Linked DNA regions of Oryzias latipes. The protein of the gene in region 2 interacts with the protein of the main gene of each other region in a biochemical or structural test. Links are inferred from orthologs where the notes say so. Each region holds a gene or a part of one and is shown on either strand. Other genes may lie near its edges.

Region 1 (6,227 bases), on a different chromosome or scaffold from region 2:
GAAGAGGAATGGCTCGGCCCCGCCCCACCCCACACCACAGGCACGCCTGACGGCGAGCGCCTCCCCAGCAGTGAAGGGCTCTCAGGGAGGGAGCGGCAGAAGAGTCCTGGAGGAGATCCAGTTCAGAATTCTCCAATCATTAATAAGTTTGGCCGGAACAAACGGAGCTGCGGGCCTGAGCTGTTCTCGGTGTCACAGCAGGAATGAGTCCAGTCAGGGAGGGGCCCCTGGGGTCAAAGTATGGCCACAGACTCCTAACACGCAGAGCCCCCAGTGATGTTCGTTATGGAGGACGTTCCTGTTTGGCAGCTTGAAAGTAACAGATTTGCTCCTCGCCTTGTTAGACTTTAACACGCTTGTTGGAGGGTATTAAGCAAAATCTCAGCTGTTTTCAGGCTGGGGGGGGGGGGGGGGGGGGGGGGGGGGGGGGCAATTTATCATGGCTCCAAACCACCATGGTGAATGTCTGCAGATCCATAATGGGACAATAACACACAAATCCAGTAATCCAACGGTTTTCTTCTTTATGGACACAGTATCACACCTCTATTTCAGATGATGTGTTCATGGTCATCATGGAAAATGGGAATAATCTCCTCCAGTAATTAAGTGCCAGCAGCAGCACGGTGTGGAGGCGTTAGAAAACATCCAAACATCACGACCAGCCGAGCGTCACCAAAGCGAGAGCTCCCTCAGCAGGAAGCCCCCCAGGTCAGCCAGGACGCTGTCGCACATGCTCATGTGCGTCCTGGAGGAGACCTCTTCACATGCAGGGGGGGCTCCTCCGACTCCCAGCAGCCTCGCTGCTCTCATATGGAGGCTGACAAGCAAATAAAGCAGATTATGCTTGTCCACATCTGTAAAGCTTCTTGTACCATCTGGATGAGGAATCGTTTGACATTTAGGTCAGCCCCCCCCCTCCCAGCACAACCGCTCTGGTGGGGAGACACTCTCTGTGAGCCCCCCCCGACTGAAGCTTGTCTGGCTGTGCGCTGGCGGGGGGGACAACTGGATTGCAGTTTGCTATAAATCAATAAGGGAGGATGTGAAGTGATGCACAGCTGATGAGTTTATGCTAACGGATGACGGGAAGTGCTGCTCACCGCCGCCGATCACCCAACAGCTGAGAGCGGCCCGCGGACCACGGCACCAACCCACGGGAGGCCCGGGTCCACCAGGAATCGCTTGAGAAATGCCAGATGACCAAAGTGACGTCACTACAAGGAGAGGCAGCTAACGAGAGCGCGTTACCAGAGTGCTTTTGTGCAACGCTGCACCTGTCTGGACCCGACGGGTCCAGGTCCTGGATCTGGATCCGGTCCAGACTCCAGTGAATAAAGCGAGCAGCAGAAAGGCCGGAAGCTCCTGTCCTGTCAGCTGAGTCACAGCCGTGACTTTCACGAGTGGAAGTAGGCCAGCGGCTGCAAACTGCAGCGCAGTGGAGATCCCCCTCTGGGCCCTCGCTGTGAATTAAAGGAAACGTGAGCCGTCTCAGAGGAGGCGCCCGGGAGCAGCCAGGGATCGCATTACACACAACTGATAAAAGAGGAGGAGGAGGAGGAGGAGGCGTGGAGCGGGGTGCAGCCAAGCAGCAATAACCGCTCATTTGCCAGGAGTACTGCACAAAGTTCACCAAACACGCCGGCATAAATATGACACAGCCGGAGGGGGGAGGAGTCACAGACTCCCTGATTCTAGCCGAGGTCATGCCCGCCTTCACGCTGACGAGCTCCTTTTTGGACTCTCCAGAAGACCGAGGAGCCCGTTGGGTAAATGTTGGGATCTCTGAACCCCAAAGAGGACGAAGCGCGGCTAGATGGGACGGCACGCCGATGAGCCTAAGTTGGTGTAAGAGGCTGAAAACGGCGTGGGGGGTGGGGGTGGCGAGCTGCTATGCATCAGTGTGCGCTGTGACACAAGATTAATTTTTTAAGGAGAGGGCACGGGGGGGGGGGGGGGGGGGGTGCTGCTGACACCCCACAGGAAGGTTGAGCTGCTGTCTGCAGGCTGTGTAGGAACCGGTCCAGAGATGCTGCCAGAACCAGAACCGGGTCATGAGAATGTGTTGTTATCCACAGCAGCGCTCCTCTAAACAGCAGCGGAGACGGATCGAAATCTTTAAAAAAAAAACACCTCCTGCTTATTTGCTTTCTGTTTCAACCCCCCACCCCCCACCCCACTCCTCAGATCGCAACTCTGGCCGATCATCCAAGTGTGAAAAGTTTCTCTTTTGACTCAGACTCTGAATGCAGTGGTAACATGTGGTAATGAAGGACATTCTTCCCCAACAGGAATGGGGTGGGGGGGCTCAAACAGGTCTGACATGGTTTCTAAAGAGAGGGTGTCATCTGACCTCGTCTTAGTCTCGGGGGTCACTGATCAACCTTGGGGTAACTGTACTTCCCTAGCATAAAGGCCCTGACAGCAGGAATGCGACCTGACGGTGGGATTTGTTTGCTGCTCTTGTAGTACATCAGTCCGACTCTTTGCATTCTAAACAGAAATGACAGCGTCGACTTCCTGCTGCTTTGATGTGATGAAAACAAACTTCAAGTGGAATAAATCGGATCTTGTCTGCTGGATCGGAGGCTGTCGCATAGCCTCAGCGAGGCGCAGATCCCAGAGAGGCTGATGGGAACTCTTATCTCTCTGCATTCCCTTCACATGAGAAAAAAGGAAAACAAAGACGAGCGCAGAGAAAACAAAGAGAACGGAGAGTTCCTCCTGGAGCCGCGGCGCCTCGAGGACCAGGAGAAAGATGAGGGCCGGAGTTTAATCCAGGGAGGAAAAGATGAGGCTGGGGTCTGTAATCCCTCGGAAGCAAGCAAACCTGTAAACCGAGGGGCCTCCTGGGTCCTGCTTCTGCTAATGTAGGCCAGTATCAGAGAATTTGGGGGTTGGATTAGTCATGTCACCACAGCTGTGGAATCAACTGTAATTCCTCCAACCCACCCGCCCTCCCCAGGAGCGGTTTCCAGTGTGTGCGTGAGTGGGAGGGGCCTCAACAACCACAGAAACCTTTTTGAACAGGTTTCCCTGTCATGTAAACAGGAACCTTTTGTTTTTGTTTTTTTTAATCTATGCTGGAGCTCTATCACACCTGCCAAAGAAAGTGAACTACCAGAGGTCTGACTTAACCCTGGTACGGATTAAACCAGACCAAAGTTGATCCGGGAAAAGGCTCTGGAGTCCATAAACTGACTTTAATATCAAGGATCGAAGCATTCTGTCAGTGGTGAGGCTTCAATGACACCACGGAATTTTCTTTCTGAGGCCTCTTTGATATTCGCGCCGCAGGGAAACACAGACCCACTTTCCTTTTTACCTGCCGCACGCGCGCGCGCACGGCGCCATGGAAACAGGGTCTTACGACAGAACCGGCCCGTGTCAACGTTCGGTACCAGGTCCAAGTTGCCATGTTAAAACTAAAAGCCAGGACGCGCGTTCACGCGGACAGAGACAACCTGTGGTAGTTCGAGCACGCGCTGAACTCCGGAGCAGAAGCGGGCAGAGTTTTGAGGCACGCGGAAATGAGGGCAGAATGAAAGGCGCCGGGCGGTCACAGCACACAAGCGAGCCACTATGCAGCCACAAATAGACCATTTCGAAAACACTTATTTTTTTTCTGTCACCAAAACGAGAGAAAAACATCGATGATCCAAACGGCAGAGGCCGCATTATTAGCGCGGAAAATGTATCGCGTCGTGACTCCTACCTGAGCTAAAGGCGGAAGGCTCTCCAGAAAATTCCGGCTGTGTGTGTTTTCTGCGGTGCGAGTCCTTCGGTTTCGTCGCTCCTCTCCCAGCCGTTGCTGCCGTCGCTGACGGTGAAACAAATGAGTCAAAGGAGCGTCACCTCCGCGCAGGCCCCGCCCACCTCCCAGCGCGGCCCCACCCGGCCCGGTTCCCCAGCCGCGAGCCGACCTCACCGTCCGGACCTGCTGCCCGTAAACATTCACTCCCTCCCGCTGCAGAGCGCCGAAACTTGCACAAAGATCCTCTATTCCGAAGAGCCCCACATCGGGGGTGAAACCCCAAACCACAGCCAAACACGGTTAAAGCACTCTTTCAGACAGCTGGTGGGGGAGGGGCTCTGCTGGGTAACAACAAGGCCGAGCGTTTGTTCTCAGCGCACCTGCGTGACGCTCGACCACACCTTGATTACAGCGAAACCAGGTGAGACACAGCCGCGGGGGTGGGGGGTACGGGGACATTTCATCATCACGTGGAAAGGAGGGAGAAAGACACGGATGACTGTGTGTTCTCACGATATGTGAAAACGAGAGAGAACTTATAAACCAAGAGAACAGTGAAGGATATTTACCTGTGCAGATACACAGATCTGCACGGTTAATGACGCGGTGAAGCTGTGACAGGACCTTCTCTGCAAAGGTCACGGGGGTCAGCTAGCCTCACCGGCAGGGGCAGGCGTGTCTGGACGACTATGCCTCCTATTCAGTGTCACAGCTTTGTTTGAGTCACCCTCAAAATCCAAACATCTCTGAATCATCCGAGTTTTCCACAACAGTTTATATTCTCCACCCAGATATAATCTCTCTGGATGAGCTGCAGCTCCTGTCACATCATCATTATTTAAAGATGAAAGATCTTTAAATGACATGATCAGACTTCTTTCTTCACAGAAACTTGACATTTTCCAGCATCCGTCTGTTCTACCCTGTGTCCATAAGTCAGGCTGTTTCCGGGAAACTTTTCCGCTGTTCCAGCTCAGAATTCTCCTCGTGGAGACTCTAAGGAGATAGAAACTCCTTACATTTTCTAAAGTGAGGAACTTCTGCAAACTTTTAAAGATTAAACTTTTGAAAAAGGATTTTGAAAAAATAAAAAATGGAAACCCACTTTGATCATCAAAAGATCTTTCAAGCCTGGATCTCAGCTCTCACACAGACATCTCTACAGGAAATGCAGTTTTAGGAAATAATGCCTCTGAATCTTGTATATTTTTTCCTGTATATTCTAAGTATTAATAAGAATGAGGACTGATGAAGCCACTTGGTAATGTTTTAAGAAAGACGATTTTAAGTCCACACGCCATGACTCAACTCAACATCACCTGCATGAATAAGAACCTTCACCGCCATAAATGAGGAGGGATCAGCTCCCTGTGTGTTAGGTCACGTTGTGTCTGGACAAAAGGCTGTCAGTTCTGCCAGAGCTTTTCTTTTTGCTATTTGATCAATCAGTAATAGTTTCTCATTGAAAAACAAGTAAAAAAAACAGAACAGTAAAAGTAATTATTTCTCCCAGATATCATGAATTCCTGTTGAACGCTCTGAGGTCATCTCATGTTGGGTGGGGGCAGATGAGGGCTGTGATGAACACTGACCCCCGTCCACCTCAGAAGGAGAACAACGCCTCAGATTGACAGGAATTGTTTTAATAGACTTGCAGAGGATGCCGGCGTGCAGAGCGGCCTGCATGACGGCGTGAGCTGGTGATGGAGGCGGATAGGTCGGGCTGCGCTCCCCGCCTCAGGCTGCATCCTCTCCCTCTTTTGTGACAGTCCTCATCTGCGGCTCTGCAAATGAAAGAGACAGTGGCGGAGAGGCACAAGGCATGCTGGGTCACTGCTGGTTATGTAGGCCATCATGTTTGTCACAGTGAATGTGCGCGCTCCTTAAAAATAGCTCCGGGCTTAATTGACACTCTGGAGTCTTCATGTGTTGCTTAGGGGGGGGGGTTTGATGTCCATTAGACTGTTCACTGAGTGGAACGGTGGTTCCTGGTGCTGAACAGCAGTGTCTGACGGGGCAGATCTTCTGCCAGAGCAGTCCGGCTGTGACTTTTGCTTCCTTGGATATGTCTGCGCAGTGGACAGCGGGGTTGCAGGGACATAAATGCTGCCATTGTTTCAGCACAGCAGCCTCTTTGTTTGGAAAATTGGCCAAGAATTAAAAGGGGAGGGGGACATTTTTAAGTGTGTGCAGTGAGGAAATGTCGAGCTTCTAATGTCTGTTTCTTGTCTGAAAGATGTGGCTGCATCTTGTCTGAATCGGGTGAAATATGGAGGAAAAGGTGAGTGGAGGGGAGTGCATCCACTCACCTGTTTCATAACCAGGCAGTGACTCTCCCTGCATAGCTCAGTCTGCCTTTCAGTTCAGAAACATGACATGGGGCTTCATGGTGACAGGCTCTGCTGCCCCACAGGAAATGGCCGCAGCGTTCCCAGGGAGAGGAAGTGGCCCGGAGCAGACGGCAGGCTCCCTG
Region 2 (5,494 bases):
CCACTTCATGGCTAAGTTGCTGTTGTTCTCAAATTCTTCCATTTTGTTATGATGGAGTTGAATATTTAGGAGCCAGGAATTTTCATAACTGGATTTGTTACCCAGGTGGCATCCTATGACAGTTCCACGTTCCACACGAGCTCCTGAGAGTGGCCCATTCTATCATGAATGTTTGTGAAAACGGTATAAAGAGATTTATTTGATTCGTTAAATACTTCAAGCTGCCATGAGATTGTTCAAACACATTTAAGGTAACCATTTATTGCAAGTTTCGCCGTCTTTTGCGATATGCGGATTTCATAGCTTGATATTGCGATAACGACAAATTTGCGATTTATTGTGCAGGCCTAGTTCAGACCCTCTCCCAGTACTGTGAGGCTCGCCATCTGCTGCAAGAGCTGCGTCTGAATGACCGCTGCTTTCAGCGGTACTCTTGTCTCTCTGTGACCTGGTGTGATGACTTGTCATGCATTAGTCCGCGAAAGGAAAAATAAGAATAAAGCTAGACGACCTTTTATATTGTCTCAATGGAAAAACAACCCATTTTATGGAGTTCAGGAGGAGAGCGATCAGATTTTCTTCCTATTTGGTATTTGGTTTGAACTCTGACCTCTGATCATGTCATCATGCTGCGCCTTCGTTGCCAAAGTTCAGATATTTGAACTCTGGATGCACCATGCCACAACGACCGAGACGCGCTCCTGCCACACCACCGCACTGCGCCCGACCTTCAGAACACGTTGCAGGACCTTTCATCATGTCTGTCAAATTTTGATGCATGAATCACATTCAGTGTGAACGCAGCTTTAGAATTCTGTGCTTAATTTTCCACATTTGCTCTGGAAGCCTTCCTTAGAACTATCCTTAGCAGTCACTGTCACCAAGGAAAGTTTAATGATGATTCTTTTAAAGGAGAATGTCAATGTTTTACTATAAAATTAGGTTTTGTCAATATTCTTTCATGTTTCTCAGTTGACCTACCTTCACTTGGAAAAATGAAAATTACTCTTGAAAAGCTTGTTCCTTATAGTAAAATGATACTGGAATCTTTAAAGAAAATTCCTTGAAAGCTCCTCTGTTTAAACGTTGAGAACAGTGCAAGGCTGGTTTATCAATGCCATTTTATTGCACCATTTTTTTAAAATTAGCTTCATTAAGAAAAAAGTCTTTAAAAAAACAGATCTTAGCAAAGCATTTGAGTTCTGACCAGAAATCAGCTGCCAGGAACATCTTGAGTGTTTGTGAATGCATCATTGAGTACACGTTTTCACAGGTTTTTTTTGTTTCACTCTGTATTGTGCCATCAGCTTTGTTGGACCATGCTGGTCCTTTGTATTAAACTGATTAAATGTGCCAGGTCTGTCAGTGAGAGAGAGGTTTTTTGTGACTGTTTGGCCCTGTAAGTGAGCTGTAAGCATTAATGACCTAATTTCCTTTAATCCTCTTAAAATGCTTTTTTTTTTTTTAATCGTAAAAGCAAGTAATAAGGGAAAAATTCTAAAAATCTATGCATCACTAAATTTAGACAGTTGGATATTTTAATTTCATCCATGGTAAAAAAAAAAAAATATTTAAACATGTCTAGCTAAGCTAGACTTAAGATATTGCTGAAAAAAGAACAACCTCACCTTATCTACACACTGCATAGTGATTTTTACTGCACTGTTGCTGTAGTTATGTCACTTTAGTCTGCTCTGTAAAGGTTTCTTTGAATGCAAATCATACATTTTTGCTGTAATGCTTGTAGTTGTGTTTAAGAGCAGATTTTTCATTTCTTCAAATAGGTTTGGTGTATAAGAGCCCATAGGCAAAATTAGGAAATGAGTCAACAGTGGTGCTGTTTCTCTGGGCTTCCACCTCCATGTCTCTCTCAAATGCCTGTTGTCATGGGGATATGACACACAGAGGAGGCCAGACAAGACAGAATAGAGGGAGCTGGAGGTGGTTGTCTAAAGAAACCGCAAAATCTAACAATCCAACAGCTGTTTTCCATTATTTGTATCAACAAGGAGTTATTTGGTCATTCAACAAAATGTGTGCAACTGTAGGTGTTACAACCATTTGACTAACCATCTACCACCACACTTGGTGGCTAAAGCTGCTTGATTTAATCTCAATTGATGTGAGAATAGTTAAAGCAAACTACAGAATAAATAAACTTTTGAACCAGTGGCTATTTAGCAATTTTGAAACTCTTACGACCTGAAATATTAAATTGAAATATTTTTCATTATATTTTAACTGAAGCAAATAAAAGTACCATTTTCCTCCAAATTGGTTTTGGTTCATTTCTATAAATACTGCAATTCTATGTTTGTCCCAAGTATGTGAGGCAATGAATTGTTGATATAAATATATTGTTAGTATAAATATTTAAGTGTATTTCCAAAAAAAAAAAGACTGTCACTCTAGATATAAAGATCTTTTTAAATCTGTATAGATTTAGTGTGATTGAAGTTCTTTTTCTGATTGTTTTCCATATTTTAATTGTTTTTTTGTAATAGATCCTTAGTTGCTAAGACTTGCCTCCTAAATGTTTTCCATTCATTTAAATGGTAACCCTTAACGGTTTTTAAAAGATACATTACTGCTAAAGACAATGTTGTCTTTAGTTGTAATGTTACTTTGATTTCTGAATGTCACTTTGCTGCTGTAGTCAAAAGAATTTTCACTTTGTGGGATAACTAAAGTCTTATCTTAATATTAGTTCTGTGCTTTTTTTTTTCCTACCCTGGCAACAAGACACCCATTTTCTTTTTCTGTTTTTAAATCTCTTCTTCTTGTGTCTTCCTGACAGAAACAAATCATTGTTGACCCTCTGGCGTTCAGCGAGGAGCGCTTTCGTCCTTCTCTGGAGGAGCGCCTTGAAAGCATTATTAGTGGAGCTGCCCTCATGGCTGATTCCTCTTGCACACGTGATGACCGCAGGGAGCGCATTGTGGCGGAATGCAACTCTGTGCGTCAAGCACTACAGGACCTTCTGAGCGAGTACATGGGAAATGTAAGTGTCTTTAACTTTTTCCCCCATTTTTGATGTGCTGTTATGTCTTCTAAGTTTGGTTTGCTCTTTTTAATCACTAGTGACAAAAGGTGCGTTTAGATGCTGCATTTCTGACTTGATTGAGATCTATGGGTTCATAATTTGATTTATGGTTCAATACCATTTTATTAAATATTGATTAATTTCTCCTGTTTCAAAGTTCCAACCCCATTTTGCTTGGTTATGATTTTTCTCTTTCCTCAAAAAAGTACATAATTAAGGTTTAAACTGCACAAAAGTAAAACTTTTAAAGCTTGAAAATTTCTAAAAAATAAGAAATCTAATAAAAACATAAAGAAAACCTGATAAATATCACATAAATTCTTTAAATTAAAATTCATCCACTGTCATAAAATTGATATTGCATTTTTAGGCTAAGCATTGACTTAAGTATAGTTTCAGAGGTTTCACTTGTCAAAAAAAAAATGCACCCAAATCAAGTTTCAATAAAGGGGGCGGAAGAACTATTTTGGGGCTTCTGAACTATAGTTACTTATGTCTGAAAGTTTGGGCAGATTTAAACATCCTACACCTCAGAAACACTTTGTAAAGGTGTACCAAACGGCTCAGTTTTTTGGCGTGTGCACACACTAATTTGGATAGAGATAAATGTGTTTACAGGGCTTTTGGCTGTCCTTCGTTCAAATCTGCGACCGGTTGGTTACAAAGCCTGTGCAGTGGACCCCCCGACAATTGTCTGGGGGCCATTGCAGGACCTGTACATTTTGTCATATCTTCAGCAGTTTTTGAGTGGTTTTGTCTTGATTGTAACGGTACAGTTGTCGGAAGGCATCTGTTAAAAGCATTTAGTGAATAAAAATCGAGGCAAAGTTGGTCCTAAATACAGAAATCCTCTGGCCCTTTGCACATTTTTAGTCACGTCTTGGCCAGTGTGAACGTACTCAATCTAGAATGTAATCACCAAGCCATGCTAAATTGAGATTTAGAAATCACCCTCCACAGTAAGCCTGTAAACCTTGTTTGGTTGTATGTTAAAGTAATCCTCGTTATAAGTCTTTCATGCAGTACACTATTCTATTTAAATTTCACTGTAAGATGAAATACTATGGTTTTGTTTTAGCTTTATTCTGTGTTAATAAACTGTGTAGTCCACTAGGGATGTCAACGATTTCTGGGCATTTTAAATGGTTATGAAAACCATCAGCCACAGTCATCGCAAAGCACAACAGGAACTTTTGGAGGCGGTATAACCCTCCCTCAACCATAGAAGACGAACAAAAACTTGCATTTAGTGCTTCATTCACACCGTCCGCGTGTGGTGCGTTCAATAGCGCGGTCCACATGGTTTATGAACGCGTATCCAGATGGTGTGGGACATACCGGACTTCTGTGTATTTACTGTTTATTAGTGCTCAACTGCCGTCTACAATAGGAAGAGGGTTGATAAGCAAAGTCACAGTGGTGCAAATCTTGCTCCAGACCTTTTGTTTTCATAGCTCTTTCCCTATAAACCACAATTATTAATGTCTCCTTCGCCATCAAGTTTAAAAGTGTTGGGACTTCCATGTTATGAAGTGGACACCACCCACACGTCAAGATGCGTTCCGGACGCAGAAGCCCGGAATTCTGGTGTGCGTCACCGACTGTAGACTGGGAAGGAGCCAGTGCACACCAGAGATGGATGCAATACTTACACAGAGAGTCCTTGAAATTTTTCTAAAAGAAATGAGACCTCTGTCAATGGTTGAAGAAGGTGGATTTTAAGACATGATTGGGGTGCTGCATCCTGGCTACCACACAAGTTAAGTCACTTTTGCTAGATAATGGGGGAAAAATTATTGTGGAATATTTTAGTGTTCACTAATTGAAAAAGTAAAACCCATGTTCATGTATATTTTTTGCTCACTATTTCTATGGGAAGTTTAGACAATTATTTAGTGCAGGGATCAGGAACCATATAGCTTGGGAGCCAATTTTGGCTTTTTTGTGCTAGCACATAGCTTACCTGGGACATTACACTTTTTAAAAAATCTTTTAATACGGTCAAATTGAAATTCATAGAGTATATACAAGTAAAAAAAAATGTTTTAAATGCACCATATGCTGAGCTTTAGCAGTACTAACAAGGAGCAAGATGTTGTGATGCTTTGTGGATTTAGTAGCTTCGAAAGCTGTAGCTTTGAGTTGGCAGTAAAAGAGCTGGTGTCTCAACCCTGTACTTTTAAAAGCTACAAATATACATTGTGACAGCAGCGCTGCATATGTGGTTAATCATGCCTCTACAAAGATGTTTGCTATGAGGATATGTGCTGTCTTGTTTAGTAGACCCAGAGAAGACGGGCACAGGTGTGACTCATGCAGTTCAGAGAACGGCATCTTTCTGTGTGTATAAAAAACAAAATGCTGTATAGCCACATCTATCCATATGCTTCCTGATATTTTACTGTCTGGTTGCTGCTTGGTGGCAGCAAAGTTCACTAAAAGTTAGTTCTG
Region 3 (6,095 bases), on a different chromosome or scaffold from region 2:
ATGGATGGAAATAAAATGCTCCATCACAATGCGTAATGACGCACAATGGCTGATCTTACGCTCTTAGAAGATGTGGCAAATGGAATAATTCGGAGTGAACGCATCTTTAGACAGCAAGAAGACTTGATGGCAAACGAGGACGACTGGCTTATGAGCCGGTTCCGACTTCCTCGAGCCGTCCTGATGGACCTCTGCGGGCTTTTGGGCAGAGGAGCACTCGGAGGAACCACGCGTGTCACCCGGTGCATCTGGCGCTCCGGTGCTCGGTGCCCCCCCCCCCTCCTCCCGATGGAGCACTAGAAGTTTTTTCGCCTCGACTTTGATGTCCGACCATTTCTTTTTTATTTCGGCCACGCTCCAAGGTTGTGAGGCTACAGCATTTACGGCGTCTGCCACCGTTTGCCACTCACGTGCCTTTTTGGCATTAGTAATGCCCACACTGTACATTCCAAACAACATTTTTCTCCTCTTTTCCACCTCGCCAACGATAACTTCTACTTCACATTGAGTGAAGTTACGTTTTTTTCATTTCCTCTCTGTGTTTGCCATGGTTTCGCAATCAATGAATATTCATTTGTGGGCGTTTCACAGACTATTTATGGGCAACTATGGGCGTGTCATGAAGCCGCAAAAGCTGCGCTGCATTTAGAATTGGTTGTGATTTATTAAGGGAAAGATGCGTAGGATGTGCGTGCGCACGGTTTTATAAATCCGAATATTTCTGTGCGTACGCACGTCCTATGTTTCATCCGTACGCCATTTCTGACGCAAATCCTACACAAAGTTTTATAAATGAGGCCCCAGGAGACACTCTTTAATTTTCTTAAATCCACAGTGAGTCTTAGAAATGCGAGGTATGTATGGATTTTGCTTGTGTATACCGACTTCAAACCGATTTTCTGTGGAACACAGCGGTTAAACAAAAATCTGTCAGATTATTTAAACAGGACTTTGGTGAAGCTGCACCGCTTGGTAGATGGAACAATCAGATGCCTAAATGAAAGTCTGTTAAAGGAGTGCTTAAGGACAGGGCAGGATTGAAAATGGAGGCTTTGAGGGCTTGTGATGTATTAATTTCGCTCTTTAAAGGATGGGTCTTGAGAAGTCCACAGATCAGTTCACTACATATGAGGATTCAGAAGGTGTCAGCATTCAAAGACCGTTTTTGGATAGTAACACTTATTGAAGGAACTCTGCACCTCCGAAGGGATCTCATCAACATCCAACACCGGAGGGACCTACCATTGTGATTGCAGAGAAGCTCCGTGAAGACAGGCGGCGCAGATACAAGTACTGGGCTTCTCTGGACCAGCAGAATCTGCGGCTGGACTTGAGCAGATCGGTGCTGGTGGGGTCAGAACAAGCCTGGTCCCTGTGCAGAGGAAACACGGGGACATTTAGACGTTTACCAACAAAAGACAGACAGACAGAAAGGTTTGCAGTGTGCTCTGAGTTTTAACTAGTAAAATATTTAAAGGGAACATTTCAGCGAGCTTCCTGTCAGAGTGTCTCCTCCTCAGCTCTCAGTCGGTTGGAGTTGAAGCGCGTGGGCTTTTAGCAGACGGAGAGCTGCTATTTTTAGAGCCAAATGAATTAGACTTTAAGCTCGCTGGAATTGTGCAATTCCTCCACTTCAAGTCTGCATCTGTTTTCTAATAATCTTTCAGTTTGCAAGTAATGCTGGATGAGAGATTAAGCACTTTCTACAGATTAAACAGCAGTTAGTGAATCTTGAAGTAGATTATTTTGGAAAACTTGGATGAAAGCAAGTGCGCATTTTATAGGATGAAAGGTCTGAGAAGAAGCAAAGGAACTGCCTGTTCTGATCTGGCCTGGTTAAGACATCTGCTGGATTCATGCAAAAGGACCAAACTCACAGATTATAATCCCGCACTTCAAGAGCAACACGCTGTTCCTAATCATTAACATATGGCAAAGATTTTCGCTGCCAGCCTGACGCAGCTTATATTTCATCCTCACGTCAACAGGAAGCAGCAGAAATGTGCGGTGCCGGTCTAAAGGGTGCAGAACCTGGATCTTTCTTTGCACCCAGACCTTTAAGCTTTCTATCTAGCATGTATAAAAAAATAAAAATAACAAAAAAAAGAGAGGAAGACTAGGAACCATCAAGATGCAGTTTCCATGGCGACATACACACCTCTGGGTAACAGGTTTACCCGGCAGGAATATTTCTGTGCACTGAAATTTTTCCCAACAACACACCATGATTTCAGTCTTCCCAACCCGTTAAATGACCTCCCCTCCAGTTGTGCAGTTCAGTTCAAGCAATGTTTTTAGCTAGAACTCAAGTGACATGTTGATGATATTGATGTCATCCATGTATTGTCAGGATTTTTGTTGTTTTGTATTTTTGTTGTCATAGTTGAATCAGGCTTAACCCTTGTGCCATCTTGTGGGGTCCAGATGACCCCACAAGACAGTGTGCTTAACCTTTTTTCTTGGATTACATGAAATCCTCTCCACCTTCATCCACCTTTGTCATTGTAGAGGTATCAGGTCAGTGTAAGGGTGGGGTCATCTGGACCCAACGAGATGGCACAACGGTCAAATCAGCTTCTGCCCATCTCCATCAAACATGTTTATCGTTCTCTCAAATACGGTAGATACTCTTGTGACTGACTGAAGTTATCAGCAAGTGTTTAAATGTATCTATTTTTTTCATCTTTGAAATAAACAAATGAAAAGAAAAAAAAAAAAACAGTATGAAGATTAATCGGTCCACATCTGAAGAGGTTGGACAGAAGTTTACATGGACATAGACTGAAAAGGGAGTTTTTGGGAAAGCATGTCAGCTGATTAAAGCGGTCATAAAGTAATCCAAAAACAGCATAACCTAAACTGATGCTCGCATGCCACTGCCTTTTTCAAAGGAGAAAGAGGCGGTGTTATCCAGACATCTTTCCAATGAGCCCAAATGCAGAAGCCGTTTCCCGTTTGCAGCCTCTCTTTAAAAGCTAGAAACTCTTTTTCTTTCTTTGATGGAAGTGAAAAGCTATCCGTGAAGCATCTTTGTGACAGAGATAAAAGGAGCTGCTCGCATCCTCCAACTTCACTGAGTCATTCAAAAAGAAACTAGACCATCTTTGATGAAAGAAGGTGATAGCAGCATCTCCCACCCTTTGAAAAAAGCTGGTTAAGCATGATGTGTGCATAAAATGAAACTAATGTTGGATGTTTTTTTAATAACATAACAGTTGGAGAAACCGTAAAAACCCAGAAACCATCAATGAAACTACCAAAACAGCCATAACAAAACTGTTCATGAGATCCTACTATTTTCAGAAAAGCAAAATTAATTTTTCACTCCATTATCCTTTATTTCCATTTTTTAACTGAAACACATCCTTTGGTCAGTTTGGAGAAACATGAGCTGCTTTGCACAGAAATGTTCTCTTATGATACAAAATAAAATAAAATAAAAAAAAAAAAAAACAAAGTTTAACAAAGAATTATAGTTCCGTCCCTGTGCAATATATGTAATGCAATATTGCTTCCATCCTGTTTTAATGCCATTAGATTTCATCTGCAGAAGTGAGCATCCCCCGCTTTCCTTCACAAAGTCTGGAAACGCAAAAAAAAAACACTCACCCTGAAGGTCTCCACAGTTTCCTGCCGGGTGGCAGGAGCTCGCGTTTGTTCAGGGGTACGATCCCCATGGCCGCTTGCATGATGGTGATAAACTTCTTGAACTTCATCTTTTACCTCTCCGTCAACAGCATCACTGCGAGTTCATGGCTGCTGCCGACCCTCCATCGATGCTAACAGAGCGCAGAAGCAAAGCACCTCTGCTCGCCTCCATCTGAATCATCGGGACTTCAGAGACGCTCTCGCGCCTCGGTGCATCTGCTTCTCCATGACAACCAGCCACACACTCCGTGTGCAGATGGGAGCCGTCCCCGCGGCTAGGCTACTACAGACTTGCGCCTAAGCACGACTCCGACAGATGTCCTTTTGGCTTTCCGAGTGATGAAGGATAAAAGGAAAACAAACAGCCACGTTGTAACCAGGAGGCGGGCTGGTGGAGAGGGGACGAACGACAGCACGTCACGCTTACATAACTGTGGAGCATCTCTGGGCATTACACTAATGAAAACACAGTTTCTGCCACCGCTGATGCTGCAGCTGCTGGGATAATTGTGGTACTAAGCCCTGACAGATCATGCACGCTCCCCACCCCCATCGCCTTTAATCCCCCCCTCCATCAAGGCTTAGTCTTCCCGCCACTTACACCACCCGTCTAACTTCACCCGAGCATCCACAGCTGACCACCATGAAAGGCGGATAAGGACCCCGACTGCACAAAATACTCCAAGACCGTCAAAAGATTTAAAACCACATCAAATTTCAGCTTTATGTAATTCCTGAATGATTCATGGAAGAATGGGAAACATCCGGCTGTGGGTTGAATTGGATGAAACAATATTAATCCTCTATGGATAAATTATACTTTTGTAATCCAGAAAAAAAACAAAGACAGGAAGTTTACTGTTGGAAAGTTTGAAATGCAGCAGCAGAATCTCACCACAGAGACCTGAATGCACCAATGAATGGATAGTCGGATCCAAACCAAGCAGATCCTCTGTTAGTTCTTCTATTCACGACGAGGAACAGGGAGAGTTCAACTTCCCCCTTCTGACGCTTCACTTTTATCCCAACATGTCAACTTTGGTCCCGTCTGGGACAGCGCTCAGAAATGCAACCTGATTTGCTTTCAAGCTACGTTCAGGAACTTCCAATGAAAAAGTCTACATAACCGGATGTAAATGCACGTTTCGGGCTCCCACACTGATGTGTAGCTACACAGGTTTTTACAACTCTTTTTGGGCTGTGTAAGAAAAAGCCTGTAGCAAGATTCGTGAGATTCTGATTGCTTCTGCATTTCACACTAAGCCCTTTCCATCTGAAGGAGGCTAGCAAACAATAGATAAAGAAAAAGCAGAAGAAGCCCCTCCCTGTTTGTCCAGTGTGAATACCACGGGCTACAGCATGTTCAACAACCCAAGTTTGGCATGTTTTAGAACGCATTTTTTAGAACGCATGTCAAATTCACGGTGTGTACGTTACCTTCCACATTTAGGGCAATTCATTCAGGCGAGTCGCATTGTGTAGAAAAGGGATATGCCACAATTTTTGCGTTAAAGCGGACCTGCAGATCTGAATTGTGGGGAAAGTGCATCGTTGCATGCCTATTGCATACCATTAGTTGGAAGTTTAAAAAAATCCCTGCTACGTTTGAGAAGAATTTAGTATTTATTATTTTATTGCAGTACACAAGGCTTAGTATGAGCCAACTGAAAGGTCTTTCTTCATAGTTACTTGCTTATTAGCAAATTAAAACAATTTTCCCCCCAGAATTTTTTGTTTTTCGTCATTCTTTTGCATCAGTCGTGCAGCGTGGAGCTTCAACAATGAACGCGCAGAGATGCAGTCAAGAAGAAAATACCTAAGCATCTTCACAGAAACTTAAGTTTTGGTTTACACTCACTTTTAACAAACCGTCACAAATCAGACTTACTCCTCTAAGCGATTTTTTAAGCTTCATGCCTGCAGCTTTATGTTTTGACCGTGATGTCTTCAGATGCAGATTTGACAACGTTTTGTAGAAGTCCTCTCTATTTCATAAAATATCAAAATACCCCCCCCCCCCCACACACACACACACACATCCCTGAAAAAAAGAGAAGGGGTGCAGTGTCCAAGGCAGGCCAGATTAAGTCCATCTTGATGCCAGAAGCCACCATGTCCTAAAAGCTTTCAAGCAAATAGTGATCATCTTTGTGCCCTCTGGATGAATGCCAGACGGCACAACTCCGGACAGGATTTGCATCCAGGCAGCTTGGATGTCTGGATTACGGTTCATGATGCTTGTGGCATGAAAGGCTGCAGCAGATTTCACTGAGCAGCAAAGACCCCTGGGAGGAAGGGAAAGTGCCAGGAGCATGGTGAGGTGGGGTGAGCAAAAATAACAAGCCTCTATTTTTAAAAGGCACTGACTAAGAGCACAAAGACGTCATGCAGACTGAAAGCACCACAAACACAGAGAGAATGGAGGTCCACTAAGATGTTACCCAATC

What was found.
Region 1: the proteins of ctnna1 (region 2) and junction plakoglobin form a complex in vitro, tested with the Homo sapiens proteins (2 studies listed by BioGRID). The link is inferred for Oryzias latipes from reciprocal best matches to the Homo sapiens genes CTNNA1 and JUP.
Region 3: the proteins of ctnna1 (region 2) and tjp2 form a complex in vitro, tested with the Homo sapiens proteins (2 studies listed by BioGRID and IntAct, with this or other methods). The link is inferred for Oryzias latipes from reciprocal best matches to the Homo sapiens genes CTNNA1 and TJP2.

The regions. Positions count from the first base shown.
Region 1 is NC_019859.2:29,198,464-29,204,690, forward strand, and holds the start of junction plakoglobin, read right to left. Parts: upstream 4,029-6,227; 5' UTR 3,929-4,028; intron 3,821-3,928; 5' UTR 3,716-3,820; intron 1-3,715. UniProt on the Homo sapiens protein: Common junctional plaque protein. The membrane-associated plaques are architectural elements in an important strategic position to influence the arrangement and function of both the cytoskeleton and the cells within the tissue.
Region 2 is NC_019868.2:19,914,209-19,919,702, forward strand, and holds part of ctnna1 (catenin alpha-1), read left to right. Parts: intron 1-2,797; coding exon 2,798-3,001; intron 3,002-5,494. UniProt on the Homo sapiens protein: Associates with the cytoplasmic domain of a variety of cadherins. The association of catenins to cadherins produces a complex which is linked to the actin filament network, and which seems to be of primary importance for cadherins cell-adhesion properties.
Region 3 is NC_019870.2:25,440,920-25,447,014, reverse strand, and holds the start of tjp2 (tight junction protein ZO-2), read right to left. Parts: upstream 4,029-6,095; 5' UTR 3,717-4,028; coding exon 3,610-3,716; intron 1,373-3,609; coding exon 1,243-1,372; intron 1-1,242. UniProt on the Homo sapiens protein: Plays a role in tight junctions and adherens junctions. Acts as a positive regulator of RANKL-induced osteoclast differentiation, potentially via mediating downstream transcriptional activity.